Linked DNA regions of Drosophila melanogaster. The gene in region 2 interacts genetically with the main gene of each other region. Each region holds a gene or a part of one and is shown on either strand. Other genes may lie near its edges.

The links.
Region 1: of ec (region 2) and S, changing one suppresses a phenotype caused by changing the other (phenotypic suppression), as found in Drosophila melanogaster (one study listed by BioGRID).
Region 3: of ec (region 2) and nmo, changing one suppresses a phenotype caused by changing the other (phenotypic suppression), as found in Drosophila melanogaster (one study listed by BioGRID).

What each region holds. Positions count from the first base shown.
Region 1 is NT_033779.5:1,071,372-1,081,722, forward strand, and holds the start of S (star), read right to left. Parts: upstream 6,445-10,351; 5' UTR 5,464-6,444; intron 1-5,463. Other genes in the region: ast (asteroid), read left to right, coding at 6,664-7,197, 7,254-7,694, 7,750-9,339; Atg4a (Autophagy-related 4a), read left to right, coding at 9,873-10,056, 10,207-10,351.
Region 2 is NC_004354.4:3,841,126-3,851,790, reverse strand, and holds the start of ec (echinus), read right to left. Parts: upstream 5,894-10,665; 5' UTR 5,584-5,893; intron 1,546-5,583; 5' UTR 1,509-1,545; coding exon 1,080-1,508; intron 829-1,079; coding exon 535-828; intron 1-534.
Region 3 is NT_037436.4:7,973,836-7,984,446, reverse strand, and holds the start of nmo (nemo), read right to left. Parts: upstream 5,402-10,611; 5' UTR 5,274-5,401; exon of another isoform or gene 4,938-5,273; 5' UTR 4,767-4,937; intron 4,048-4,766; 5' UTR 3,629-4,047; coding exon 3,465-3,628; intron 1-3,464. Other genes in the region: POP4 ribonuclease P/MRP subunit, read left to right, coding at 5,842-6,462; CG8209 (uncharacterized protein), read right to left, coding at 6,778-7,120, 7,177-7,779, 7,873-7,922; HP4 (heterochromatin protein 4), read left to right, coding at 8,403-8,685, 8,760-8,797; CG8042 (uncharacterized protein), read left to right, coding at 9,546-9,627, 9,685-9,819, 9,889-10,146, 10,265-10,611.

The DNA.
Region 1 (10,351 bases), on a different chromosome or scaffold from region 2:
TTGTTTTTGTTTTTGTTTTGGCAGCCACAACTTCTTTGGCTTTGCCATTGAGCGAAAGACAGAAGAAACAGCCTTTGCTGTGTTGTGGTCTAGAAAAAACTTGTAACCACAAAAGTTTGTATTTCAAAGCAACCACACTGTGATTCTTCTTCGTCCACCTCTTGCTCTTCGTCTTCCTCTTCTTCTGCCTCTTGGTCGCTTTATTTGTTGTTGTTTTGGGGACGGCGACACTTGGATATCTCTTTTTTTGGTCGGATTTCTGTATCTGTGCGGTTCATTGTTATAATTATGGGAATTATTATTGTGGTTTTCACTCGGCTTTACCTTTTTCAAAGAGGGAACTGAGAACTGAGAAATGAGAACTGGTTTTTTAAAGCCCCGAGAATAACCAGCACTTTGATGTAATCGATAAGAAAAGTGTCTGGGAATCCTAAGGCTGTACTGTCTGCTTTTATCTCTTTACCCCAAAATGCCGAGACAATTCCAGAAGTCGGGCAGAGATGCTCATCAGCAAATTGCGAATTAATTTGTGTATAGCCCATTGAAATTAGTTGTTTATTGAAGGCGGCGAAGATCCCGGCCAGAAGTTGTTTACACCTCGCGGAGGATGAAGAGCCAAAATAGATGGAAATGGTTTGTGTTATAAGCCCCCACAACAGGTAACGCTGATAGATCGGGGCAATGCTAAACACAAATCAAAGCTAATATTCTTTATGGACTTCTCGGAAACAATCTTATCGCGACTAACGAGTTGGGCCAACAAGCCAAGTGCTGCAGTTGCAAGATTGTGGCTTGTGGATAGCAGTGCCCGTAGATACAGGGCTCACAACTCCAGTTCCCACACTTCATAAAGTTCGCTAAGTGAATCATTAAACAAATTACAAATTAGTACGCCAGTTATAAATAGCGGCAGAATAATACGCAAGTAAATAGCCCGATCTATGGGGTACATAGGGCTAGGCTAGGGGTATGTTTGTACGCATAACAAGGGGCACCGAAACCGAAGCACCTACAAAGTAGGTAAACACGCTGTATATGTCCATCAATGTTGTGTAAATATTGGCGCAGTGAGTTAGTGTAGGTGGCTATGAAAAGCTGCACCACCCACAGGCATTCGGTCGGGATCCACGTCCATGTAGTTGGGACCCCTCGGCGATCGCCGGGTTAGTCAGCTGTTTGCGCTGGATAACGATATGATGAGTGGGATCTATTCCGCTGAATGTGGATTCCGCAGGTTAATAATGCCAGCTCAGCTCTATTTTAGGGGAGAATTTTATAAATATTTCATAGAATGCGTAAGGTTTGTAAGAAGTTTCGGCATTGATCATTTTCCATTTACCAGATGCCAGACCTTAAGTTCTGGAAATTTTCCAGGTCGATGATGAAAAGCATTACGAGCCGTTAATCGTACTAAGAATCACTTAATCCATAAAGCAATTTTGCCACTAAAATTTAATGAGGTAAAATCCCTTCAAAAAGATTCACTGATTATCATTAACTATATTATCACCTGACGTCACAGACCACAAGACCACCAACCGCAAAAAGGCGAAAAAGTAGACCGCATTCGATCTTAAGTTCATAACACCATTCCCATTCATTATTTCATTCATGAATGTGGCTCGATTTATTTCGAATTGGCTGCATTGGCGTAGGCAAATCAAAACAATGCTCCGAATACCTTTGTAAAGCAGATCGATGCGATCCATTAACAGGGCTATTTGTATAAATTTATTGCATTTATGGAAATTGTTTAGCGAAAAGTGAATTTTCCAATGAAACTGGCCAAACAGAAGACAGACAAGTAAATAAATGCCAAACGGATTTCGCTCAGACACATTGTGTCGCTATAGACGCAGCTATAGAGAGGCCAATAGATGATCTTGGCAATGATATATGGGCTATATATGTATGTAGATATGTATGTATGGGCACCTCTCCCTCCAACTGAATGCTCGAAATTATTAATTGAGAAAATGTGTAGAACAGTCGGCACATATGTATGTACATACATATGTACTTGCGCATCCGAGGTATTCGGGAGCAAATTTCACAACTCGAGAAAAGAAAAGATAATGACTCAACTCAATCCGAGCTGCCTACTTTCAATATTTTGTGTTGACGCCAGCGAGAAATTTAGCCCACAAATAGCATCCAATTGACAACAGTAAAACATGGCCAAATATGTACCAAGCCGGCCAATGACGTAAGCGCCCCACGGTAGCTGCATAAATGGCAAAAACTAGCGAACACAAGAGGCAAAAGCGTTGCATCGAATGCGGATTACCCTCGACACTGATATGACTGATGTGTTTGCAATGACTGATGTTTCCAAATGATGATACAATGAATATGAGTGATTACTTCTTTGGAACTGTAATTATCAATTTAAGCAGCTTTCAAGACTTTTAATGAGGTTTATAGCCATAATTGTAAATAACCACAGAAAACCATTTGCAATTATTGTTGAGTCTGACAAAACGAAGCAACCCACTGTAGGGTATCCAAAGCCGTTGCAAAATGAACATGGGTCTTGATTTATTAGCAACAGACAAGGACGGACATAGAGTCGCGAAATTACAACGTAAGACGATGGCGCACTCGCACCCACATACACGTGATAAAAAAAACCGTATTCATTCACAGAACAGTGAAATTGGGTGTCATTTTGGGATCGATTCAGATTTCAGATATCTGCTGGTGTGGATGAATCAATTAAATGGCAAAAGAGCGAGCCAACTTGGTTGACCAAACTTGGACAAAAGGAGTGGCCAGCTAACGGATATGAAAGAATGGGCCGAAAGCGAATTTAGTCATCTAGTTGTGCATGAATCAATCACAGATTGTGCCATTCATTCACTTCGAGCCTCACTCACACATGTCACTCACAACTTCGAGCTCCGTTTTTTGCCCATTGAGTGGGAGATCGATGCAAAATTGCCACTGCACTGCTCACTCCTCTGCGATTCGTACTACTGGCCTATTAGTTTCTTTTCGCTCCTACTCTCCCCCTCTCGCTCGCTCCCAATTGCACGTGTTGGGACCGCTGCAGCAAAACAACAACAAAGGAATCGACGCCGACAGCGGATTTTGTTGGATTTTATTTTTGGGTCTTGGGGCTTCTCCGCTTTTTATATTCTTCTTTATGTCTTTCCGATTTTGGAGGTAGCTCGCCATGTGAAAGGAAATAATTACTTTATTTGTTGATTCTGTGTGTGTGTGTGTGTATGCGTACAGTAGGGCTCGGAATAATAGAGTAGTTACAAATATTGCTGTTATCTAAAAATACAGTTGGTCAGAATATTTTGTATTTTTCAGTTGCGAATAAACACAGTACATTATCATTTGATCCTATGAAAACTACATTTCGTTAAGATCCTACTATATATTTTTGTACGAAACAGTCCTACTTTTTTGGCCGCCTCTGTTTCGCCTATTATGAATGTGCGAGCAAGATTGTTGTTATGGCCCCGTGTTGCCTTTCGGTTGATTTGGCTGCCTCTTTTCCTCTGTTGCCAGCTGGGCTGCATTTCAAACCATTTGGAAATTCGAAATTGTTTGCAAGCTTTTATTGGCCAATGCTGCTGCTTTTTCTTCTTCTTATTATTATTGGCCCCCGCCCCCGCGCTTTTCTAAACAATAATTAACAGTAAATGAAAGCGGGCAGGAAACGCGAGAGGCCTGTGGAGGCTTGTAGGTCAAGAAGCATTAGATGGGCAAAGGTATAGGCCATTAGCCATTATTTCCTAGTCGCTGTTATTATTCTGGCCACTGTTGCAATGGCTCCATCTAACGGTGCCTTCTTGCCTGCCGCATAATGACGCCTAATTGGCCAGGCAGAGATCAGGAATCTCAGAAATCAGAGATCGCCAATTGAGAAAGTGAGATCAGTGACAAATTACGCGGGCAATTTAAGCGCAGCTTTAAGCGGGCACATCCGCTTTGCACATACGCGCAGTGCAGAACATTAGACAAATTTGCACATTTAATCAAAGACAATTGTTTAATTGGTCAATTGCGGCAAGTAACTGGAGTACCAGCCGGGAAATGGGAACGGGGCAAGTGCGAAAAACAAGATAGTGCAGGATGAGACTCCTACACGCAGCACATGTGACATTAGAAACAGTTCTAACAAATATCTTAATTGCTATCAAATTTTATGCCGCCAGAAAACCTCGATTCCACTCAGTTTCAGTTGGGTTAGAGGCAACACAACTGGGGGAAGTTCGAGACCGCTCTTTATCGGGCCTCTCTATTTACGTTTCCAGAGTGGGACGGCAATAGCCGTGGCAAGACAATCATCAAGTGCGACTCTTGCTGGTGTTTTCGCTGTGGCCCCTGCACTTCCTACTAGGAAATTCCCCAGAACTCGGAATTATATGCAGCAGCAGCGCTGGCAAGTGTCATTTGAGACCAAGCACAAAGAGACACACAGCAGCTGCTCCCCAGTGGACTTGTGTGTGTGCCGGAGAGTGGATTTTATTTGAAATTCAAACTCTTTTTATGGTGCCCACTGATTACAGGGTATGCGAGGGTAGTATGCACTTGTGTAAGGAAGTGAGCAATGCTGTTCTAAGGATTGAGACTAACCAAATCTCGCTTTGGAATATTTCCTTTTCAGAAATGCCCTACAAACAGTTTATTAAGAGGTATCAACTGGTCGAACCGCTATGAACTTCACTTCCTCCCCGGATTACCAGTAAAAATCGTTAAAATCGCAGTCGCAACAGCTGTAGGAAAACTATAAACCACATTGGGAAATGCGTTTGGGATGGGGTGAATATGGATGGCTACGCCTTTTGCGGCTCTCTAAGCCCTGGGATGAACTTTTGTGCTCGATTTCCAGTTGCCAAAAAGCGCCGGAAATTGCTGGCAACTGTCGGTGGTCGCCAGATCGTCGGCATATATGCAATGTCTGCAGCAAAGCCCCCTTTTTCATATGGAAAATGAACCTGATTCTCGAGCACAGCGGCGAAAATTACATAATCGCCGGGCAAATGGGAGCACAGTCATATCGAAATTGTGCCAAATTGCAACTGCAGATGATAATAACGATAATTTATTTCTCCCCCAGTGAGATGTTTCTATTATACGAGCAATTTTCTGGAATCAGCGGGTGCCTAATTTCGCCCGATTTTCTCTGTTTCAGCAGCCAGGGAAAACATTTCAATTCTTCTATTTTTTCTGGTTTTTTCGGCCCACCAACAGAGGTTTTCTCTAGTTTATCGGCTTTCCCGAGGGTTTTTCCTCTTTCCGCTACCTGCGAATACCTGCCCCGAAAAAAAGAGGCGTGGGAATCGCCGAACATACAGGAGGTGCAGAGTTGGGAAATCGGAAAAAATTGCAATTGCAGGACGTGTGAAAATGTGCGGAAGACAGGAAACGTGGGCCAAGACCACTCGCAGATTTCCCGGAACGGCCTTGGCCAATGGGAAAGGGATTTTTCCCTGATTTTGAACTCACCTTTTTCGGCAAAGAGGGAAGTTATATATGTTTCGTATCCGTAAAACGAAGCTCCCAAGACACCAGAAGAACTCTGCACACACGCACTTGCTTTTGAACCGTCTTTTTTTTTCAACTCTAGGACGAATTATCGCACGGTTGATTTACGTTTTTTGCTGGTTTGGCTTAACAATTTCCTTTTGGAACATTTATTTGCACACAATTATTTATTAAATGCCGCACACACACACACAGGTGATTGGTGATCGATGATGGGCCGTGTGTGGTTGTGTTGTTTACGTACGTGTGTGTGTGCGTAGAGCACGCCTCGCACACACTGACAAAAATTCATTCACGACACGGTGATCACGATCGTCGCTCTCGCTCGCTCACTCATGGTGTTTTTGTGTGGAAAATCCAAGAGAAAAATAATACTATGTGAAGCGCAGACGAAAGACGCACAAAGCTGAGTTATTAACGTGTGTTATTGTTGTTGTTGTTTCTCGTTGCTACTGGATGTTTTCTGCTGCTGTCGCCTTGTATTTACTTAATTTCATATGCATATTTCGCCCATGGTTTTCTTTTTTCCGCTGCTTTTCCTTCTACCTGTGCTTTAGTTAAACGAACACACAAAAACAACACACACGCACGCACACCACACTCCGCGCACACACACACGCACGCACGAAACGAGAGACGCAAAGGTAAAGTGGTAAAGTGTGTGCAAGAAAAGCGACAAGAAACGGAACGGAACCAACGGAACCCGTATATATGCACGCGCTCTTCGATTCAATGGCGATTTCGGTTTCCACTGCACTCGCTGTGTTTGTGCTAGTACATTTCCCAGTTTCCTTTAGATTTTCGGTACAAGTGTTGCTATTGCTGGCGAATTTTTCTCCTGGCCACCGCGTAGCACTCGCGACGTTACGATTTTTCGACGTTTGATGCGCGGGTGGAGAGCAGACAAGCGTCGGGTTGGAATTGTCGGGACAGAGTGTGACCGCGGCGCCATCCCCGGAATATACCATCCGGCTGCGGGAAATACCCTAGATACCAAACTAATCGCTCATATATACCAAACGGCAGCGAACGGCCACGCTAAAGAATCGATATGTACATCGATAGTATCGCACTGCAAACTGACATCACTATTAGCACGCTTTTAAAGTTTGTGCAAAATAGGTAAATAGAAAATTGGGAAAATAGGCAAGCGCCGGGAAAATGGGAGTCCGCGGCCTGACCAGTTACATAGCGCAGCGCGCGGAGATCTACCTTAAGCCGCACGAGCTGCACTCCACGGCGCTGGTCATCGATGGCGACAACTTGAGCTGCAATCTGTACAAGGATGTCACCGGGAGCTACTCCGCCTTCGGCGGCGACTACGACGACTTCTACCGCGCCGTGGTGCAGTTCTTCCAGGTTCTGGCCGAGTGCAACATTCGGCCCTATGTGCTCATGGACGGCGGGTACGAGGAGCGCAAGCTGAGGACCGTTAGCACCCGGCTGCGCAACAAGATTTCCGTGATCAAGAAGATAAACCCCAATGCATCCATCACGCTGTTCCCGCTGCACCTCAAGGAGGTTTTCGTGGACGCTGTGCGCGACTGCGGAGTCCCGGTGATGAGGTGCGTCTTTGAGGCGGACGACGAGTTGGCTGCTCTGGCCAGGAAACTTAACTGCCCAGTGCTCTCCTACGACTCGGATTTCTACATCCACAACGTCAAGTACATCCCGCTGATCACGCTGACTGTTAAGGTAAGGCATAAGTTATTTGGATTCCAGCATATACTAAGCGATTCCATGTACCCCAGGTTCTCACCAAGCAGGTGAAGGACAAGAACAGCAGCAACCAGAAGGACAGTCGAGATCTACGTCACTGCGAGGCCAAGAATGTGAAGAAGCGCACCAGGGCCAACAAGATTGTGACTGGCATTCAAACCACAGGGCTGACAGCCAGTACAAAAGGCAGTTCCAAGACCTACAAGTACCTCGACTGCTGCATCTACCGGGTGTCCCATCTCTGCGGACGAGGAACTCTGAGTCCCGAGAAGCTACCCCTTTTTGCCGCCCTCCTGGGCAATGACTATATTGCCCGCAGTGCCTTCAAGAACTTTTTTGCTGCGGGAATGGGCAAAGCAGGACGAAGTCGCAAACTAAAGCTCCAGCAGAAGCGCATACAGGTCATCCTCACATGGCTGAAGGAGGAAACGGCGGAATCTGCTCTGGCTAAAGTGCTGTCGAGACTGAAAAAGGTTCGTTGCTTGAGATATCTTTTTCCGATTTATGCTAAAAATAATATTCTTGCAGAACCAGCGTGATTCCCTGGTCTCCCAAGTGAATGCAGCCATCTCTGGTTACTCCAACGAGTTGTGCCACGCCTACGATTACTTCGATGAGCACTACGAGAATGCTTTTCCTTATATAGAACCCGTCAGTGAAGAGGAATGCAGCGACGATGAACATTCGTCTAGCTCCGATGAAAAATTTTCAGATGTCGAAGAAGGCGAGGATCAGGAGGAAGCTGATAACCAAGATGAGGAGCAGCAGGAAGAAAATCAAGACGTTGATTCGGGTGATGAAGAAGAAGAGGAGGCGGATGAAGGCCTCGAGCTGGAAGTGGAAGACAAAACGCTACTCTTCCCACAATGGTTTCTGGACAAACTATATCCCGCGCACCTGCCCCGCAGCTTCGTGGACCTTATGCACCTGCGCAAGTACATCAACAACCCACAGATCGAGCACTTTCCCTTCCACGACTCCAATGAAGTGGCCTTACCCATCCTGAACTACGTGTTCGCTCTTCTCCATCACGTAGAGTGTGAGAAAATTGAGCTACCATTAGAAGTGGATATGGATATAGAGGGTTCGACAGTCCCCTATCTCACCTACCTCACCAGAGCTCTGCGAGTGACGAACGTGAGGTATTTCAAGATGCCCATTGAAAAGAAGCCTGCCTATCCGTTTGATCCTCTTTCGCCGGATGCTAGGCATTTAAGAGCTGTATTCGAAGACAATGCTCCCAATGCGGATACGGAGAAGTTGTTCAGCAAGCTCGACCAGTTGCCGGAGGACCTGAGGCTGTACTTTCTGGCCATTATCTACTGGTTACATCGCTCGGAGCACTGTGATTTGCTGCATCTTCACTCGCTGATCCTTAGTTTGGTTGTCCTACGAACCATAGATGTTACAATCCCTGCTGAACGAGAGGTGAAAACCTTCCTTAAAAGATTTGGCAAGACATTGAAAGCAGAGCGAGCAGTGAGGGATAAGGAAGCTGCCGAGGGAATTAAGCGCGGCATCAAACCTGCTCTGCTAGAGCTTTCTGTTCCAGATCGGATGGCTCATGTACCCAAATCGGACTGCTATTTAACTCAGGAACGCCTACTGCCGCACTTCCATATGCAGGAGATCTTCAAAAAGAAGTTTGACTTGTACTCCACCACGGTTATCCACGCATTTGCTGAATTTCAGGCTGTGGTTTACCAACTCAATGGGCTAAATTCTCTTTTGGATTTTCCACTTTTGAGTCCGAGGATGAACCAGCTTTATTGCGGCGCCTTTCTCTACAACATGTATGATGTACTGAGGAATCGTGCCGATGTCCGCTACCATGTTGAGAACTTCCTGCTGCCCGACTCCAAGTTGATGTTCGATTTCTATTGCTACTTGTACGACTGGTGCGCGGAGTTTATACCAACTTGGAAGCGATTGGAGGTGGATCCGACGGCGGCAAAGGCCCTGCAGAAGAAGCGATTGAAGAAGCAGCGTCAGGCGGCTAGGAAAGTGGAGCTAAGGGAGGCCATCGCGGATCCCAATGCGGAAATGGTCGAGGATGCCGATCCAGAAAACGACTTCTTCGATCTGAACAACAAATTCTGCGCACTCAAGGTAGCGTAGCTAGTTTGAAGTCCCGCACGTGCAATTTTGAAGTTTTTACATTGTTACAAATCTATACTTTGCGTAAAATAAGAAAAAAATTAAATATTTTTTAAAAAACTTCATTTTTGAATGCATTTCATTAACAGTTTGGAAAAATACTGTTATTTCCTATGTTATGGTCATGTTAAGTGCAAGGTTCGGTATTTTGGCAAAGTAAAATACCTTATCAGTTGCGGTCATACTAACAGCTACGTCACTGCGTTGTAATCAACAAAAAAGAAAAATAAATCAAACTAAACCAGCCGCAGACTGATCAAATGCTGGTTATCGCATAGTTTGTAATCAGCGCCCGTCACTGCCAACAACAAATGAAACCCCTGTGACCTCGGGCCAGAAGCAGGAGCATTGCCGTTGCTGCCAGCGAAAACACAGGCCAAAACAAAGGCCCACCCGAAAAACAGAACGTCATTCGAAGGCAATTATCGTATAGACGAGCAGCGGAGGCCCTGGTGTCCACCCCCTTCTCCTTCTGCCAGCGCACCGGGCAGTAGATGCTGGTTGGACTCAGCGACCAGCTAGCGCGGATCATGGAGAGCGTCTTCGAGGCGTACTTGGGCCCAGACAGCGTCCTCGCTAGTGCAGTTGGCCAGGCGGTGGGCAGCGGAGAGCCGGAGGACATTCCCCGAAGAAACACCGACGTCTGGGTCCTGGGAAAGAAGTACAACGCCATACAGGGTAAGATGAGACCTTATTTAATGCTGTCATATGGGTACAAATCTAGCATATTGGTCAGCATGAGTCATAAGGGGTTTCCCAAACCTTTTTTCGATTATCATCGATGGATACCAAACTGAAATCCATAATCAACACCCTATCCCTTTTCAGAGCTAGAGCTCATCCGACGGGACATTCAGTCGCGCCTGTGGTGCACATATCGCCATGGATTTTCGCCGTTGGGAGAAGTCCAGCTCACCACGGACAAGGGCTGGGGCTGCATGCTGCGCTGTGGTCAGATGGTTCTCGCCCAGGC
Region 2 (10,665 bases):
TTTTAAGGGACCAACTGGTCCGAGCAGCTTTTCGCAGACAATCTGCATGTGCACGGCAATGTCCCATAACCCGTTTGCACCGCACAGATCGGTAATAGTCGCGCCAGTAACTGTTCTCGGACAGAGAGACAAGTGGCGGACATTCAAGACAAGACATTCATCACACTCAAGACTTGGCAAGTGCAACATCGTATGTTGCAGGTGCTCGGATCCAAACTGGTGGAACCCACGCCACGAGTTTGGCTCTGATTCGATCGGCGATTGTATCTGCGGTTCATGGCTTCAATCGGAGAAACAGACAAACGGGTTGACTACACTTGCGAAAACGTTGTACAATGATTTAATACGCATTAAAAACAAAAAAAGGGTAAATGACACTAAAAACTTTAAAGCGAACTCTATATATTCCATTAAAATTAAGTATACTCCATAAAATTAGCTTTGCCCAACGTATTGCTGTCGCTTTGCTTTGATTAATGGCTTCATTAAGAATCCTATTCTATAAGATTCTCGTTAAATGCATCCATTGCTTACCTGGGTGAAGGGCAGCTGCTCCGAATTGGCTCCGCACTTGCAGACGCTCTGCTCGATGACGCGCATGGCGAATCTTCGGTGGGCAATGCAGGCGGAGGATTCGCAGGAGTCGCCGTCATCCGGCGAAATGTGCGAGTGGACGCGGTGGAGAAGGAGCTCGAAGCATTCGGCTGCATCGCCCAAGCAGCCGAGTGGGAATCGCCGTCCAGCCAATGGACCACTGGCCAAAGCCCGACGCAGTGGCTCCGGGCACAAGGCGGGCTCAGAACTGGTCTGCAGCTGCTGGAAAAGTTCCTGTTGCAGGAAGAGCACAAGTTGGTTAGAAGACTTCAACATGGAACAGTGACTATAGTGAGGAATATTTCGAAAGACAATGCTGAGTGATTATGTAAGCTATTTAATATAAAGTATTTCCTAAGTTACATTAGATTACTAAATAATAAACAAAATATGTGAATACTTGTGTGCGTTTCATTTCTGGCTTTAGACTAATAAAAGTTGATCATTTAGAGCTTCCCCCATGTTAAATTATTCCCTAAACTTACGATAACCGCATTGATGCACCGATCCCTCTCCGAATTTCCCGCGCTGTTGATATGACCATTGCTATTGCCATTGCCAGTGCTATTATAGCCCATTACGGCCAATTCCACGCTGCTGGCCACTTTGGCCAAGGCACTGACCGACTTCTGCTTCGACTGCTGGCGGGTCAATGTGGCCGACTTGTCGGCTCCATCCAGGATTAATTTGCGGGGACTACTCCTTGGCAGGGTGCCTCCATTGTTGCTGATCAGGTGCCCCAACTGGGGATGGGGATGGTGGGCTTGAACGGGAACGGGAACGGAAACAGGTGATGTTGGGGATGTGCCCGGGGTGCTGGATGCTCCTGATCCCAATGCTGCTGCTCCTGCAGTTGGGGCTGCTACGCCCACCACATTCGTGGGTTCTTTCCTTTTGTAGCGGAACTTGATCATCTTGCTGTTATCCGGTAATCAGAGTCACAACATGGCACTGTGGAAATGGTTTTACAAAATTGCTTAGCTTTTACCTCTCCACTCGCCGGTTTATGCAGTTCTCAAGTTTTGGCCAGGCAGGGTGTTAAGTGTTTTTTTACTCTAGTCAGCTCGAAAATGCAAATAAAAAAAAGGGGGAAGTCAGCCAGCGGAAGTGCGAACTAAAGTGCAAAGTCAGCCCCCAAAAAACGACAATTTGCAATCTGCAACCCCCAGCAATTAAAGAGGAAGTTAAGTAGCGATTCGAGGCAATTAATGGTAGGTACGAGACGAGCACTTCTTGGCATATCGATCGAGTACTAGTACGATAACAGCTGCGACAGGTTTTTAACCATCATTTGGCACACCCTAAGCCTTAAACGCAACTCGACTGGACTTGACTTTCGCTTTTGGCCTGCTCTCGACCTCATTTGCGGCCAATCGAAAGTTTCGCCAGCAAAACAAACCGGTCCATATTCCAAGCCATCGAGACAAAGTTCTCCAGCCCCAGAAAAGTCAGTCAGCGGTTTCTCAAAACTGCTAAGCTGCAAAGCTAAAAACAGCAAATTGCATGTGCAGTGCTAAGCGGTAAGCGGTAAGCGGTGAGCGGTAAGCGCCGAGCGGTACAGCGGCAGAACGGTCTAATGTTGCCGCCTGACAACCGCTGACGCCTCGAAAATGAAGTGCCACTCGATGGAACCCGAGACCTGGAGCCGCAGGTCCAAGCTAATGGAGCTACCAGGGCATCGGCGGGGCTTTAGGGGTACAAGAATGACGCCATATGCGACATATGGCTGAGATCTGTAAACGCCTTTTGCCTTTTCTGCTGTCAATTACAATTGTTTGGCCAAAGCAACGGCAACCCGACACGAACAATGAGTTGGCCTAAAATTATTAAATGCAGGCTGATATGCACAGAGCACAATTGTGTTGCTAAAAATGATTAAAAAGTCATTATTGTTGCAAACACGTACGTATGTATGTATGTTTATTTGCCAAGACCGTTCTTTAATTATCTTAAAAATGTCGAAAGGGCAATAAGTATATATGCTAAACAATTTTCCCTTTCGAATAACAAACATAAGATATTTTAATTTGAAAATCGATTTTTAAAGTGTCTTATTCGCATTACTCGTATACACGATCCTCATAAATAAATACGCAAAGATCTGTTTTGCACACGAAATACTTGAATCGAAATTGGGAGTGGAATCGGCACAATTAACACTTGTCAACTGTTTGAGTTTTGAGCGAGATCGTGAAAAGGGACGAAAAGTTGGGGGAAAGAAGTTTGAGTTGTGAGTTCATCAGTTTGCACTTCGCATGACTGACTGCTCAAGTTCAAGTAGAGAGAAAACACAGCCAAATATACAGACAAATATTAACACAATTAAGCAGAGACCAGGTGAACTTACAATCAGCAGTGCATTCTTAGCTAAAAATTCTCAAAAACCTATGTTATCTTCCCCGAAAAACGAAGAGCGAATGACTGCAGCCCGTTTAAAGAACCATAAACGTGGCTTATGTATTTTTAAGTGCCACACGCAGTAACAACAACTGGGTGACAATTCTGGATTTTATGGCCAGCGATCTGACCCGAAACTCCGAAAAATGTTTAATAAGCGGAAAAGTCGACGTTGGCGAGCGGAAGTTCGAACTTCCAGTACTTGTCGTTTTCCAGATAAACTGCAGCGGAATGGGTGTTCCCGCCCTGCTCAATTGTTGTTATATAATTGGGCATTCATTGGACAAAACAGTTGCATGCTAATTAAAATCAAACGTCACGCTCTTTAATTCCAGCTTTTGGGCCTTTTTTCTTTTTTGGACGCTTTTCAGGCACTGGACCACACTGTTGCCACACAAACGTGGAAGTTGGCGAATCATTTAGGCCATGTACATGTAATTAGTCGGCAATTGGCCAACGATTTGCGCGAAGTGCGCAACTGCAGAGCACAAGGGGCTTATCTTGAAATGCGATCAACTCCCCGAATGAAACTACTAGGGGTCTTCAACAAAATGACAGTGGTTTGTAAAATGGCTTTAACCGCATGGAATGTAATCAAGTTACGTCTAAGAATTAAAATGATATTATACAGGCGATTAGGCCAACAAATTGAAATTAGAGTCGCTTGCTTTTCCCAAAAAAAAAAAAAAACGTTATATGGACGATATTTCAAAAGTGCATCGCTATAGCCAGATGTCTTGTCCTCCATTTTGTGGATCATGTCGCGAAACACGAGTTTCGCTCAAGTCTCAAGTCTCGAGATTCGATGAGGCGACACTTGGCGGGCAAACCGAACTGGCAGTCCTTGAGATTGAGACAGACACTAACCCAACCGACACTATTTATAGATCGGGGCTTTGGGCTTTGGGACTTTGGCTTTGCACACCTCTAAACGTATGTACATAGATCGCAGATACACACCAGAGTTAGAGATACAGATACAGATACAGATACTGAGAGCTTTGGGCAGCTGTTGTCGAATGCAAAACGAGTTGGCAACACAAGCTGGCCTGCAGCTAAATGTTTTCATTTATTGTTATTACTCCTTATTATTGTTGCTCGCTTCTGTTGTTTTTTTGTTGGTGGCTTTATGATTATTTATCTTTTTGCAAGCCTGATGATTTATGGGCTTTAATTGTTAAGCCACAAGCGGGGGCCAAAACGCTGGCTTTAGCTGAATGTTTCTGCTTCCGCAATTACAGCGGCAACAAAAGAGCCAGAACTGACCTTTTTCTCAGCCAGATTGAGACAAAGAATGAGTCTACCTGGGCTATCTGGCCAAATGTGGGAACACCACACGTGCAATAGCCCACCAACAATCTGCAACTAGCAACTAGCAACCTGCCACCAGCAGCTTGCACTCCATGCTGCAGATGTCTTAAGCCGAGAATCCAGCAGCGAAAACAGCGATGACTGGCAGATCAATGAGCCATACAAAATGTTGAGATACATGGCAAGAACTATTCTAATGCATTGTCGTCGGCTGCAGAGTTTATCGTAAGTATATCGTTATGCTTTACTTTGAGAAATACAAGCAGAATATGTAGAAAACTCTCTGGATATACAAAACACCGTTTTCATATTCAAATCCTAGAGATATTCAAATTGATTCCTGTGCGAGGCAAGGCGAAGGGGGAGTGTTGCAACGGCAACCTGTAGCAGTGATTTCCGCACGTGAGGCGAGTTTCAAGTAGTTCTGGCTAATGTCTGTATTCAAGTGGCTCCATGTTTACATATGCTAGGCAGGCGTTGGATGCCCAAGAATTACCCATAAATACACAAATCTGCCGCTTAATATTCGACTGGGACAGAGGAGTCCAAGAATGATAATGATGATGATGGCTGGACTAGTGACATATGGCTTGGTTTGGGCCAAAAGAAGAAGGAGCCCAACTTCGGGTTGACGGCCTGCATTTCAATTGCGGGAGTGGAGTGGAGTGGAGTGGAGTTGAGAGTCCATGCAAATTGAAACTTTAAACTAAAACACTCCCCTTTTGGATATAAGAAAAAATCGCACTTGAAGATCGCGTGTTTCCCTGGACTTTCCCTAGGGAAACCAGGGGTCTTGAGAAAGAGATATATGTATGTATGTACATATGTACATATGTACATACGTACGAGCATATAAAAAGAGCCTGCGTGCGGCGCACAGATTAATCTTTAATAAGCAGCATAAATGCATTAGGCGAGTGCCCACTGTACCTGTTCGTAGCAGGTTTCCACGAAGGCTGCGGGCTGCCAGGCATTTACATACCAAAAGATCTTCACAAAAGGTGAGGAAAAAACAAGTTGGCAGTTGGCGGTTGGCGGTCTTAAGCCATTTGGACCGCTATGATTTTTGACGCGGACCGGACCCACATGCTCGTCGAATATCAAAGAATCAATAACCAACGGAAAAGAAACAGGTAATTCGATTTGAACTGAGCACCACCTAGCTGCGATCTTCAAACTCAAACTTCATTGTTTCATTTCTAATAATCAAATCGGGGGGGGAAAAAAAAACTGGCCAAAAACTTGAGTTCTGTTTGAGCTTTGTTTAAGTTTTCAACTTACGCAAGCTATATTCTGTTTTGTATTTATAAAAGTAATCCAGTGATTTATCTCGATCTGAGCACAACTCTGGATCTCTTTGCTGAATGTATTGGTCGTTCGTGTTGAGTAAACTTTTGCAGGCACAAGGCACAAAAAAAAAATCAGTTTTATTTGAACTCGTTAGGAATCAGCGTTATTTTTTTGCCGCGCGCGCAATTCTTCACTTTGATTTCCACTGAGATTCGATTCTGGATGGGGTTTATGGATGGAGCAAAAGCGACCGACTGCCGATGAAAACACGTCCGCCGACTGGGAAATTTGTATCGCAACTGAAACTCGTTTGGCCGCTTGGCTTTTGGCCATCCGAAATGAGAGAGAGGGAGAGAGAGAGAGAGAGAAAGGTGCACAGTCCAGAGCGGAGATACAGTGCTGGCTCTCCGGAGAAACTGGTTTTCCAGGGGAACAAGAACTTCAGTTATATCAACAGCGAACTCACCTGAGCAAACCCTAACCAAAAACCCGAACCCGAACCCATACCCAAACCGAATCCGAACTCGAAAACGGGGGAGTTTGTCTTGTAGTAGGCCAAACAGGTAAATGTCTTGCTCGAGCAGGTAAACAGCGTCTCTCTCTCTCTCTCTCTCTCTCTTTCTTCTCTCGAGATTCTCAGCACTCCGATTCGATTCTCAGATTTCCACAGACGAAGCACCCTGTAAGCCTCCACGGATATACCTTTGACAAAATGACAATTGCAGCCAGCGGTATATAGAAAAAGTCCGCATCATCTTGCAGCTTAAATAATAGACCAGAACCCCATAGGCATAGGCATAGGTCTAAGACCAAGCTTGGAGTCTGTGGCCATGGTTGTCTTTGGTGCGCAGATTGCAGATCTTGAGATTCATGAGTCATACTGTAAAAGCGGGAATGCCAGAGAAACGCGTGCGCATGTGCAAAGCCTACGAAACGAAAAAAAAAACCCCGAGCGATTCCATGGAAAGCCCTAATATATTCGATCGTCCATAAACCTTGTAGCCCAAATTTGTTGTATTTGCTGTAGCTGAGTGCAGCGGTAAAAGTAAGATAGGAGTTGCTGCGGCTGCGATGCCGAAATAAAAAACAAAAAAAAAAACAAAACGAGGAGTAAACAAAAGGCCTCTTTCTTCTCTGGGTTCAAAAGTTTAGGACCATCCACCCGCCAACGAGTCCATGACTCAAAAAGAAGCGAGAGTTGGGGCATCGAAACTGGAGTCAAACAGTGACTCATGGCCAGACTATGAAGGTGTAACGTCAGTTGATTGATTGGGTCAGAGTAAACTGCACACAAGACCAAGATGCAGATGTAAGGGGCATAGGACACACTCGCATAACAAACGTCACAAAACTATATACATATGTTAAATACCCAGCATGTTCCATTTATATTTGACAGCATTGGCTTCAAATATCAAAATTAGATAAAATATAGGGATACATATTGGATGATCACTAACTAAAATGTCGTTAGCCTTTATAATTTTTTTTTTTTATCCAAGACACAGAACTGATCAATCAACTTTGCCCAAAACGTTTTGACCAATTTGGGGAGTATAGAAACTAGATAGCCCGAAAACAAATCACTGGCCATTTTGATGGATTGACACGCTGAGGTTTCTTTCTCTAATATGTCAAAGGCGATCTTGGCTAAAATATCAAACAAAAACTAAGAAAACTATTCAATAATTGATGGATTCTCTATCGCCGACTGACTGCATTTCTTTGCCATGGCGGTAAATAAAAAGTTGTCGTATTTTGTACGAATAAAAAACCTTCGTATCGCACGTCGATCGAATAAATTGAAGACATAATAAAAAGCACAACGAAAATCAGAAGAAACGAAATAAAGCTTAACAAAATTAAAGGTAAAGATCGGCAACGTACATGGGTTTTTTTTTTTTTTGATCGTTGCTGAAGAGTGAATCACACTGATTGAGATATGGCGAAGATGGAAATGGATTTGTCTCTGCATCTCCGATTAGCACCTTCTACACTCGTGCCCTTCTCATATGTATATGTATGTATGTATGTACATACTACCAGCACTATATAGTACATAATACACACCTCCAACTCTGGTTTTGTTCATGGTAATTTGGATTTCCTTTTTATGGTGGCTCTGAACAAACAATGAAACTAAAAAAAAAAAAAACTGTGTGTGTTTGCACTTGCTTTAGATGCCATCCAGATTATAGAGTAACCAAAAAAAAATCCAAATCTGGAGTATGCATATACCATACATATGTACATATATATTTGGAGGGCAAACAGAGCTTAGCGATAAGTGGAAGCCCATGCAACTGGCACACGATCATCAAGTGTCTGCGGCACGGACTTTGGATGGATCTGTATGGATCGTTTTCCTGGTAAAGAGGACATTGTCTTCTTGGTTCTTCTTCACACACTAATGACTTTGTCCTTTGGTTGTGTGGATTTCTGAAAATGCAGAATGAAAAGTCTGGGCCCTTCCTAATGAGAATTGTGCATTGAAGCATGACAGCGCCGAGAAAACTGTCGAGACGATTTTTCATCAAGAAGAAGTTCTTAGCCCTCTCTTATATGAAACAATCAGCGTGGGGAACGGTCAAAATGCGATCGCAATCGTGGGAGTTTCCCAGCTGAAAAAGGCCAACGTCTTCAGTGCGACGATTTTCATAATTAAATAGTCTTCTTCCCGCGGGAAAGGTGGAGTAAAAATTAATTTAGCCGCTCCGCGTATAAATAATGCAAAATGCAAAGGCAAAGGCAAAGGCAAAGGCAAAGGCAAAAGGGGCAACCCTTCTCGTTTCTCATTTCTCGTTTAATATGTGGCAGCAAACAAGTGGGCAAGTGGCAGCCATGGTTTTCCGGGCCAAATCGGTGGGTTTGGGGGCACTACTACACGACGGCATGGAGGTGCAGAACAGTCAAAACAAAACAGTCAAACAAAAACAAACCGAAGAAGAGGCACCAACACTTTCCACTTCGTCGTCATCAATGTTTAAGGAGCGAAAAAAAAAATAAAAACGAAGGGGAAAACGCTGCGGAGAGCGGACCCACTGTGAGCACAGTGTGCACCCTGTTTTTTTGTTTTTTTTGTTTGTGGCCAGAGCGTCTTGGCCCAAAAAGTACAGTCGCGTACAGTCGTTAGCCTTTTGTTTGTTGGCGGCCCGAGTTTTTCCCGAACGTCACGAGTTTGTCGCTTGCCCAGGGGTTAGCACGATGGAAGATGCTACTCCGGGTTTTCGTTTGGGCCTATGTTTGAGCTTGGGTCCTATTCTGCTTTTCTGCTACTCTGCTCTTCTGGCTAATGATCACTGAGATAATAATAATGATCTTCATCATCCGCTGGTCTGGTTTCTATATATATGTATATTGCACCAGCCGCCTGAGAGGGTGACTGTCTTATGGTTTTCCTCATGGCTCTCGAGTCCCCAAGTTTTTTTTTTCGGTTCAGCCTATCATGACCTTTTTTTTTTTGTTTTTTGATGACTTGTTGATTTTCCCGTTCTGGAGTAATTATGCACTTTTTTTTAATATCAAAAGTCAGTCGATATAGTGCTGCGTTCTGGTTTATCTCAAATGAAATGTGAACTGCAGTTGTGCAAATAAGTGGTTCTTATTACATGATTATTTCGTATTTTGTATTTTTATTACAGTATAATTCGCTTAGCTGCATCGATAGTTAGCTGCATCGGCAAGATATCTGCATTATTTTTCCATTTTTTTGTGTGAATAGAAAATAGAAAATAGAAAAAAAAAAATTAAGTTAGCTGCATTTTTAAGTTACCTGCATCGAGGCATTGTGCAAAGTACTCGAGGCAGCTAAGCGAATTATACTGTATATCAAGTTCAAACGAATCTAATGGCATTTGCATAATTGCACTTGACTGCGAGTTTAATTCGAGGTTTTACGAGGTGAGAACAGGACAAACGAGGCGTTGAGTGCCGGTCACGCTAGAGGGTCCGGCAAAGGTCCTGACAGGCGTGACCAGTGGCCCAGGACTACAGGATCCCAGGACTTATCCGGGACAAGGATCTAAACAGCCCTGGACACGCAAGGTTGTGTGGAGGGGGTGTGAACCTGGCCGCCAGGTAAAGTCATTGAATGTTGCATTTTCGGGACAGCCATGCCGATTTAAGGATTTAATTTTTTCACCCGGTTTTCCCCCATTCCCTGGGAAAATAAGACTGAAAAACATTGAGCCTGGGGAAAATCACAAAACAAAACGCACTTGAGCAGCTGAACAGATGAGAAAAGGGCCTCCTACCCTGCGTGTGAATAAATGATGATTTTCCAAGGCAGACAAGGCTGCATGTTGGCAATTAAGGTGCAGCCGAACAGTTGGAAATCGGAGGTGGAAAATCTGGAAAAGCCAGACAGGCAACTGGGAAAATTGACCTGACCCTGGCGCTTAATTGCTTTATTTGGGTGCGAGAGAAAATTACAGACGAGAATTTCTCTAATGTGCAAGTTCGCATGACATCCACCAAGCATAACTATTGCGAAGCCCAAAAGTATGCTTCACTTATTTTGACCGTCAACTTCGAATGCCGATACCAAATGATTTTAAAGCCAGAGTTCATTATTAAAATCTAAAATAAGTTATAAAACAAATCAAAGAAATATCTTAGACTATCTTACAATTATTTGTTAGAATGTTTATGGTGCGTTTCTTAATTCTAATCCCTCATTAATAATAAACTTACAGATACAAAACCATATATGTTTTAAACTGTTCTCAGCAATGTCTTACGATCTTCGAATGGTTTGTGTCTTGAATATCAATTCGAACTCACCTTTAGAGCGCAAAAGATACAGTCTTGGCCACCGCATACGTGCTGATTTAGGCCGCGAAACGATCGTCGAAAGGCGTCCAAGTGCCACAAGACCTGCAAAAGAGAACGGGCGAGCATTATTAACTTGGCCAACAGAGAAGAGAGCACAGATTGGGGACATGGAAGGGGCTATCTTCACAAAATCTCTGTGTGTATAACAAAAGAGAGGACCAAACCGGTTAAGACGACGCCATCTTGTCGCCGAGATCTGCTGTGCCTGTGTGTGTGTGTTTTTGTGTGTGCTTAGACAAA
Region 3 (10,611 bases), on a different chromosome or scaffold from region 2:
TTGCTGACAGATATCATTTATTGCGAGACATTTAATTAACATTTTACTACAGCATATTTGTCCCATTTCAACATTGCGTTCCAAAGTAACCACAATGTACACATTATGTGTGTGTACCAATAAAACATAAAGGCTATTAAAAGGCTCTAAATTGTTCTTGGCCAAATGAGCCTGTTGCCAGGGAACAAGGGAACTCGGGTAACTGGCCAAAACAAAGGCAAAGGCCGAACGCTGGTTCACAGCCTAAAAATAACAGGAACTGAACTGGCTAAGCCGAATCAGTTGCTAGTGAGTTAGTGACTGAGTGAGCCTAGACCAAAGACACCTTGCCAAGAGGCTGGGCTGGCTGACCGGGCCAAGACACCGGGATGCCAGGCTGACGTCCAGGTCCAGCCAGATCCAGGTCCGAATGGAGTCGACTGGAGACGACTGGAGTCGTCGGCTCGAGTTGAATCGCATCGAGTCGAGAAGTCCACCGGCCACAATTCGTGCAGGAAGCGAGTTTCGTCGATGCAGGCAAAAGGTTTACACTGTCTTTTTCCTACCTTCCGTCCGACTGTCCAGTTGTCCCGCCGTCCAATGGTTCGTCGTCTGCCTGCTCACCTCCCAAAACCAGTTGCAGGTAGTTTAAAGTAAAGCCCAAAGATCTTCGCTCATTCGCTCGTCTTTTGGGATACCTTATAGCATATTTCTTATGCGACTCTGCTGCGCAACCTGAGTCGCCCGCCGTCTGTCCCGTCCATCCGTACATACATACCGACGTTTCGGATACAAATATATAACTATATACGTACACACTTATATATATATATATTTTCATATAATTCTCAGCCGTTTCTTGACTCTTACGAGTCGGTTGCATTGGGGAAATTTCGTAGAACTGTGTCTAGGATTAATTGGTTAAATGTTTGTTGTTCTTGTTACGTTTGCCTCGAATTTCTTTCGTTTCTACAGTGCCACTTCTGGGAAACAAATTATAAATTGAGTAATCTAGCACTAAGCATCGAATTCGGTTTTTATTTTAGCCATTTGCGTTTATTGACCAGAGGGCGAGACAGTTAAATTAAAGGGTTTTAATTCTGGGCCAATATCTTAAATATCTTTAAACGGAATTTTATGCAAATTAATCAGTTACTCTCTATCAATTGGATTCTATGTTATTGGTTAAAAAAAAAACTACAAATAAATCATTTTACTTCACTGCAAAAGTTCTTCATGAGACTGGACAACAACTAATGTTGCCCAAAACTTTTTTAAGCGGATTTTGTTAAAGTATCTATTCTAACTTGGCCACGTTGCCGAAGTTCACTTAAAACGAGAACTACTTTACGACTTGGGCCCCACTCCATTTGCCGGCCACTTCCTTCCGCACCTGAAAATCCACGCTTCACCTGCTTTTGGGCTTTCCGCACCGCCTCTCTGAAAAACAGGCACCACCTTTAACTAAGAAGCCGTAAACAAAAAAATACGAAAAACACATTTCCTAGCCTAGGCTGACCGGCTGCATCTAACAAGTTCGACATTTGGCTCTTGAATTTAACGCTTGATTGCATTCCAGCCCAAGTTCTAGTCGCTCTCCATGCACTTCCCCTACTTTGCTGGACAGGATCTGCAGATATATGCAGTCCAACTTCCATAACTTCGATGTTTTGGAACAACAAAAATATGAGCTCATAACTTCAGCAACTTACACAATTTAGTCTAGTGGAGTAAAACGTTTCAAAAGTGAATCAGGGATTTTTGGGAGTACCAAAACTATATGACCTATATATCCTGATTTGAGAAACTTTTGTATATTCCAACTAAAAAAGGGATTAATAATAGCATAGTATGCAGCTTTTTAGACTTGGGGCAATGGCTTACAATGGTGTAACTTTGAAAGTAAATGAATATTATTGCAAGTTAGCAACTGGTAGACCCGTTGCTACTAAAGACTGCTGTGTGAAGCCAATCCGAACGTCAACGACTTCATTTCGCGGGCTCCACTTTCAGTTGGCCAAAGGGAAGGCGGTGTATCGAGGGATATACTTGGGCCTCTTCTTGGGCCTCTTCTAGCCTCCCATAGTTTCCACTAGCCCCGCCACGCTTTGTGTATTTCACTGGGCTCCTCCACTTGTGGCTCGTCTTCGGACTTCCACTTCCTTGTGCCTAAACCATCGGGGCCCCTTGTGTGCCAGTTTTTAACTGGCTTCCCTGCGGACGACCAACGACGACCACTCCCCCACCGGCAGCACTCCTCAAAAGACCCGCCCGATAAACTGGGCTCACTTTGCGTTTTGATTATAGCCGGAAATGCCGTTTTACACGTGAATGAAATTTGTAAATGCAGCGTTGCCAAACTTCTGGCTACACTACGAATAAATTGATAGGAAGTCGAGTTAAATAATAAATAGATATGATGATTTCATATTGCCACCTTTTTTTGTGCTATGTTAAAATCATTTGCTTGATAGATTTGCAGCTTTTCGGTTACATTGATAACAAAATGTTGCTAATCCATATTAGATATTTTACTTTACCCAGTAAACAAACAAATATTCAATGCTCACCCCATTTAAGCAACCATTAATGTAAAATTTTGCACACAAATGTAAATCAAAAGAGTCGAGGGGATAGAAAAAAAAAAGCAGAGAGAGGCCGATAAACGAGGAGATGGGCAAATAGAAAAGTCCAAATTGAGGGGGGGGGAGGGAGGCCAAAACACGGAGAGCCAGCCAGTCAGCCAGCCAGCGCGCTTAGGGTAAGAAATATATTATAGGAAAAATCCACCCTCGGGGGGCCGCAGCAACGTTGAAAACTGCACAAAGGCACAAAACCATGAAGGACAGCTAGCTGAGACCCGGGACTGAGGTTCTGAATCGAAATGAGTACGAGGATGTTGACGTTGCCCGCTGCACAAAACATCAACATCAACAGCAGCAACACAATCAAAAGGGTTACAGAATCAAAGGCCTAAGCAGAAGGTTGCTGAACCCACGGCGAGACCGTGACATAAAATCGCACAGCAAAGTAACGACGCTGCAGATACCCTTTCTTCGAATAGAACAAAGACTTTTTCAAGTCAAAGAACAACTGTTTAATCTTTAGATATTTGAATTATAAAAGTACATTGACAGGAGGGTATTAACATTTGGATTCGAAGTCGGTCTTACAACTTTTTAACCGAATGTGTTTATAATGAAATCATTTACAAATTATCATTACATGAATTCTTTAAGGGGCACAAGCATATAATAGGATATGACGTTAATACACCCTTTTCTGCATTCTATACCACCTATTGTCTTATAATTCTCAAATATAATTGCCCATTTCGGCGGGATGTCTTTGGACAACCAGCAAAACAACCCGAAAATAACCATGCTTGCTAAACCAAGAAAAAATTTGATTGTACCAATACTATGGCAACACCCTTCGCCCATAATCTGGATTATTGCACTGAGATATAGAATCATTATACTTACCAGACAACTCCGAATGCTCCATAGCCGATAGGACGATCCGGCTGAACATCCTGGGGAACAGCCGGCGGTTGATAGTAGGGAGCCGCTGCGGCCAAGATTGCGCTGGCGCCCTGTGGCGCACCACCGGCAGCACCACCCTGTACCAGTGACATCGAAACGCTCATTGATGGACTACGCGGCAAGTTTTCCAAATAATTCGAGCAGCTGCACCCGGTTCTGGTATTTGTTGGCGATGGAGCTCAGTGGTTGTGGTCCTGCTAGGCTGTGGCTTTTACTGGTGGTGGTGGTGGTTTCGACTGGGTCTTGGACTGTGGTTCTGATTCCCAAAGCTGTGACGGCGGTGGTGACTGAGGTGGTTGAGGTGATGGTGTTGCTGGAAGTGGTGCTTGATTTGATGTGGGAGAAATGGTGTTGATTGCTCAATGGATGCCGCTGGGGCCAACTGATGGCCGCCATTCAATTGTTGGCCATTTGTTGCTGTTTGCCTTGGCGTGCTCCTCTATTCAGCGCTATTTGTTTCGCTGCGTGTCGCTTGTTACACTTCTTACTTATTTAAATTAGATTTGAGGACATTGTGATGAAACTGCGGAGTGAAGTGGATAAATAATCATTTGTAGACAGTTGAATTGTGAATAATTTAAACGTTGCTAACAGAATTTACAATCTTGATTTATTTTCACAGTACGCAAGAAAACTATTGAGAATTGATTTCCTATTCGACCACTAGTTACTAGTTACCACTAGGCTCAATATTTTGTATATTCTGTAAAAGCTAGATTTAATTTAATCCGGTTTTGGTATTATTCACTGTACTTTAATTGTCGTTACTTTTGTTTGCTTTTCGAATTTTTGGTGGCAAATGATGCTGCACAGGAATCAAAAAGAAAGAAGAGAGGAGAACAGTGAGAGAGAGCGCGCGAGAGGACATGAAAAGTGCCGTTAGCTGTCGCGACCGGGGCGCGTCCGTGTATTACAATTGTAAGTGTGTGCGCATGTGAGTGCGATTCTGAGTGATTTTCGGACTGCGCTGCCTGCGCAAAAAGCCGCTCAAAAGACACAAAAATCACTTAAAATCCGACTTTTCATGCAAATTTACAAATGTTGAAAACCAAACAATGGCGAGCACCCCCAAGTCGCCAGAAAATGAACGCAATCAAAAAACGCTCGCATGAAAATCGAAAAGTAACGGGACAAAAGAAATTCGCCCGGGGATATGTAATATTTCCCAGGGTTTCGCTTAGCTTTCCGGACTAATTAAACCTAACCTATGCAAACAAGACATTCCATTTCACTTTAAATTACCTTAAAAAATGCACAAATTATTGAGCAGCGGCGGTGGCAGTTTTTCGTTTATAATTTCTTTTCTATTTTTCTTTTTTTTTTGTGTTTAACTCTTCCGCCTTTGTGGGAGCGAGATGGAAGTAAAACGCGCCGGGGGTAATATTCGTGCGTGTGTGTGTGAGAGAGAGTGAACTAGCGGGCGAGACGGAAACAATTTTGTAATTTTGTTTAATTATTATTGTAAATAACGCGAGATGAATTTTTTGTTGTTTGGCGTGTTACTACTACTAACGCGACGGCTGCTCACACACACGCGCATACACAATCGCACGCACGTTTAAACTATGTACATGTATATGCAGAGCCAGACAAACAAACAAAATTTTGCCTGGGTCACGTTTCTTGGCTCTCTCACAGCTTTTTTTCTACGGTTGCCCTTTATTGCATTATCTTTGTTATCACACGGGCCGCGGGGCGTGGCTAAAAGGGGGGCGGGCGGATGTTGGTCGTCGGTTGGCGTTTGATTACCTCGCAGCTTCCCAACGAATGAGCCTAACTTGGATTTTCGATCACACGCGGCGACGTTTGTTTCAACGATAATTCCGAATTCGTGCGCTCGACGTTCCGCTCCGTTCGAAAGTTGAGAGAGACTTGAAACATATGTTCGGCGTTGCTAGAGGTGGTCGGCCACCGATAGAAACATCGATAGGTCCGATGTTTTCCACTCGTATATTAATTCAAGGTTTGGCTATCGATGTTTTTAGAGTGCCCGCACTATATCTATTTCCATCTCTATTTCGTTGGTATTTTTTGTATTTTATGACATTTCAAATGCAAAAGCAGGATGGCAACGCCAGATTGCCCCGAATGTACGTTATTTTTAAATTGCAGCGTTGAATATGAAAAATTGCAGGTACATACAGTTTCTAATAATTAATAGCAATAATTATTATTTAGCTTGTATTATACGAAGTGCACATGCAGCTATGCATCTGAAAAAATAATATTAATATATCGCCTTTTCTTCCATCGATAGAGTTCCGCGCCTATCGATATATTGTTGATCACCAAATAAATAAAACTAAATAACAACGCAATGGAACACGCGACAAGTGAATTGAGGGAATTTATCTCAGATCTGGTGATTCCGCACCAGCGTTGCAATGTTAACATCAATCCGGATCACATCACAATGCTGGAGGGCACCAAGATCAAGAAGCAGCACTCCCGAAAACGTCGCGCCCACAAATCCAGTACGCTGAGTCGCCGGGAATATGCGGCACTTGGTTTGAACACTCTTCCCACCAAGCAGATGAAGTACGAGGAGGCACTGCCACTGCACCACCTGTGGAAGGGCTATGTACGCGAGCATCTGGAGCTGAGGGAAGGTGACGAGGTGCCCCAGGTGCACGATGCTCGCTACGACGAGTTCAGCCGCAAGTTGGTGAAACTGGACTTGCACGGTGCCAAGATGAAGGTGCTGCAGTCCAAGTGCTCCACCCTGGAAAATTTGGCTGGCATCTGCGTCATGGACACCAAGAACGTGCTGAAACTGCTCGGCAAGGACCATCGGCTGCGCACAATACCCAAGAGCGAGTGCGTCTTTGGTATGAAAGTGGGCAACATGGAGTTCACCATATTCGGGCAGCACCTCAACATTCGACCCGCCGAGCGAAGCGTTAAGAAGATCAAGAACTTTGTGAAGCCCTTCATGTAGGAACTACAGGACCAATCATTAGCCATAGAAATTGAATCCTATTGTAATTTAAGGAAAAAAGTTTATTGGAAAGTTAGCATCGCTTTTCAATAGAAATTTAATAATTGCCCTCAAAGATCCTCTAAAACTTTACTTGTATTTGAGATTGTTGTGTTTAATATATATATAAAACCGTACATTAATTGTTTTTCTTGTTTTTTTTTTTTTTTTTTGGGGGGGGGGGGGTATATTTCGCGCCGCGTTTTTTTCGTATTTAGGTTCTAGTTTATGGGAGAGATTACCCGGATTCAAATATATCCAGTTTGTAGGAAAGATTTATGCGGGCGTCTTGGTCATGGTGATGACAGCGGATGGAACCAAGCCGAGCACTTCCAGCGGCTTCTCGTAGTCGTCCTCGGCGAACAGCTTGCGCGGAAAGGTGGTCATCAGAGAGAAGGGCGACTCGATGCCGGTCTTCATCTGGATGAACACACGTACGGCGGACAGCTGCTCCTTGACGTTGAAGGTTTCCTGTAGTGTTGAGCCATCCTGCAGGCGCACCTGGATGCGGGTTTCGGTGTAGTCTCGCGGCGGAGATTTCACACCGGCCGGTGGTGACGAAACTGTGGTGGAGCTCACGGATGGAGCTGGCTCTGCGTTGCCCAATTCCTTTTGTTCTCTGCATACCATGAATTATAATGAATTATGAAGTGGAAGGATAGGGCTAATCCTTACCTAGCCTTGCGTGCTGCCTTGTCCGCCTCAATTTGAGCCTTTACCCGATCGCGGGCCGCCTTCTCCTCGTCCTTTTCGCGCTTGCGCTGCTCAACGATCTTCTTCATCTCCAACTCCTCCATGCGCCGCTTGGCCTCGGTCATGTCCTTGCCGGACTTGATGCGATTCTTTTCCCGCTGCAGGGCTTCGATTTTCTCGCGCTCCTCGCGTTCGATGCGTTTCTGCTTGAGCTTCTCCTCGATGAGGGCCAGCTGGGCCTTCTTCTCCTCCTCGGTGAGCGCCTTCTTTTCCTCCTCCGATTCGGAGAATTTGGTGTGACCGGTTTTGGCGGCATGGTACTCCACTTCGGTGTGATCTCTAAGAACTTTGCCGCATTCGTCGCACTTCAGGGACTTGGCTACCGGAGCAGAGGTTTCACCTGCGCCACTGGTGCTACTGGAAGCTGCTGCGGCCGAGGAATCCACAGCCGCAGCTGGTTGAGCTGTGGAACCAGGGGATTCGCCGGCACCTTGACGGGATGGTATTGGATCATCCACGTGGGCCAGCAGCCACTCCATTGCCGGTTCTACGCCCTTGTTACTGGTCACCTCCAGTGCATATTCACTGTGAAATATATTTCAGGATTAAAGCAAATTCGATTGTTGCAGTGTAACTTATTTTGCCGGTGACCAGTTGGCCATTGTATTCGATACTTACACACGTTCCCGAGGGAATCCCATATCCATCAATGTCTGCACTTCACTCATAGCGTTGGCTGATTGCGTCCCAAAAATTAATAGTTCAGTTTCGTATATTTATGAAAACGAAAAATTAACAATGACACACAAAAACAAAGCCAGGCGAGATGGATAACTATCGATAGCTCGACCCGTGGTATATATCGGTGTAATGCAATAGTTGCAGCTATGGCAAACAAAAATGATAAATAAATAGTTTTAAATATAATATAAATTTTAAATATATAGTAAATAAATTAAGACAAGGAGCGGACAACCAAATACATTCCATAATTCTTTTAATTTTTTTTATAGATATTACACATACTTTTAAATAAGCATTCCATATAGCTGAAATCTACCCATCATTTTCGAGTAGTGTAGTGCCACCACCACCATAGATAGTTCGAGGTTGCCTGCGACGTTTACCAACTCTGCAAATTTGGCGTCTACGGAGATAGGTTTTTTCGACTTTGAAAGAGAAATTTCAACAATTTTATAATCAAAACCATGTCACCGAAGACTAAAAAAATGATCGTCAAGATTCCGCGCCATCCCTACTTCAATGTGCAGGGCGAACGGAGCGTGGAGCGCGAGGTGGAGTACCAGGTCCGAAAGTGTCGCGTGAATCTGGAGCGCATCAAGTCGTCGACTTCTCCGAATTCCCGTCCATTCCCGTTAAAACCGAAGCCCAAGAGATGCATTGTACGTGTAGCCCGACTGCCGGACGTGGAGCGCAGCGAGATTTCCGTGACACCGGCCAGTTCCATCATGAATTCCGACATTGACGAGAGTAGGTGCCAGGTCTTCTAGGGAACCTACGCCACAGACTACTTTAAAGCATTCTTCTTCATGTTATCCTTACAGATAGTGGCAGCGATCAGGAGTCTAATCTGACAATCTAGTCGTCTCATACTCAAAGAGCAATCAACGCATCCAGCTGACAAACTTCTAATCGCACTTGGAGTCATTCGAAGTACACAGAGTACATGTCCAAGATAAACCAAATAGATGTGCGGGGCTATCCTTTTCCTGAATATATATGTATAAGATCCTTATCTAAGACTTTATGCAAATCAAGCTCGATTTCTTAATACAAACTCGTGCGCCTAAATAGAATTTTCTCTTGTTTTTCATATTTAGCTATAAGTTATCTAGCAAACTTGAATCCACTTTATTTTATATACCAGATAGGATTTATTATGTAGACCATTTCATATGGATAATTTCATCGGCATATAATTGTATGTGCTGTGATTTTTTACAACAACAAATGTTTGATTAAATTTGTAAGGAATTGTTGTATTTTTTTGGAATTTCTAGAATATTCACAAAATTTCAAAAAATGAATTTAAAAAATGGCGGCAATAAGATTTTATCGAGTTGTGTTATCGACCATTAGATATCAGCTTTTCATTTAAAACTTTGGTAAAATAAATATACAACACTTCACTCTTTAAAAACGGGAATAAAAGAACATTAAATATTTTAAAATAATTATTTTTATTTAAAAACATATATTTTTAGACCACTTATCGACAGATCTATATATCGATACCCGGGAGTCAGCTGTCGGCAGAAAAATATTTCTGGAATAACAAAAACAGACAAAATTACCCGTATCCGAACCGAGTCGTTATTCCAACACCAAACATGAACTGGCACAAGGGCAACATTGCGGAGGCCGTGGCGGCATCAAAGGCCAAGGGCGCCGTGTTTGTCGTCTTCATCGAGGGTAATTAGTAAATTGCCAATTTTACCACGTCATTGCGAAATTTCACCTGCTTTTTAGGCCAGGACGAAATGACCCGAAAACTAGAGCGGTTCGTGGATGACAGTCAGGTGCGCTCCCGCCTGGAAACCTCCGATTTTGTCGCCATCAAAGTCCAGGGAAATAGCTCCGCCTACGGACAGTTCATGTCGTTATGTGGGTACCATTCTGGCTAGCAATCCAGATCAATATCAATATCTCTGATGGTTCTTTATTGATTTCCAGACAAAATCGTGCCAATTCCCTCGCTCTTCTTTATTGGCAAAACGGGTACACCTCTGGAGATAGCCACTGGGGTTACGGCCAGCGTAGATGAACTGACGGAAAAGATCGATAAGGTTCTGATCCTGGCGGGAAAACGAACCGAGCCTGTGGCAGCCAGCAGCTCTTCATGTGCGAAGACACTTGACCCCAATGAAGTCAGGAGCTTCGCCGGAGCAGATGGCTCAAGCAGCACTGGGGAATCTCAAGTAGTTCAAACAGGTAGTCCAAGGTCCATTTTAGAAGTCGATGTGCTTTCTAACTCGCAATAGATTCCACATGGGTTTGAAATAGCCTCTGATTAAACAAGATATTTACAATGAAATTCTGAATATTTCAGCATCAGAAAACTTTAGAGATCCTGAAACCACCTCAGTTTCAAACTCACCAACTGGAGGTGTGGAGGAGGCCAAGACGAATCCACCAAATTCTCCTGTAGCAGCCAGCTTGGCATCTATACCCGCTGCTGTATCAACCTCCAGTTTGGAAGGAAAATCAGGATCAGAGGCAGAGGCTGCTTCTCCCACCGCTTTGGCGGCCGAAAAGAGAGCAGCAGCGAGCAAAGTGGAGGGTTCAGCTACCACATCCGGGGCAGCTGCTCGGAATTTTGCCACTAATAATCTTATACCGGCTGTGCCGCTAATGACACCTGCTGTCCCAGTTCCAACACAACGACCGCTCGAAGCC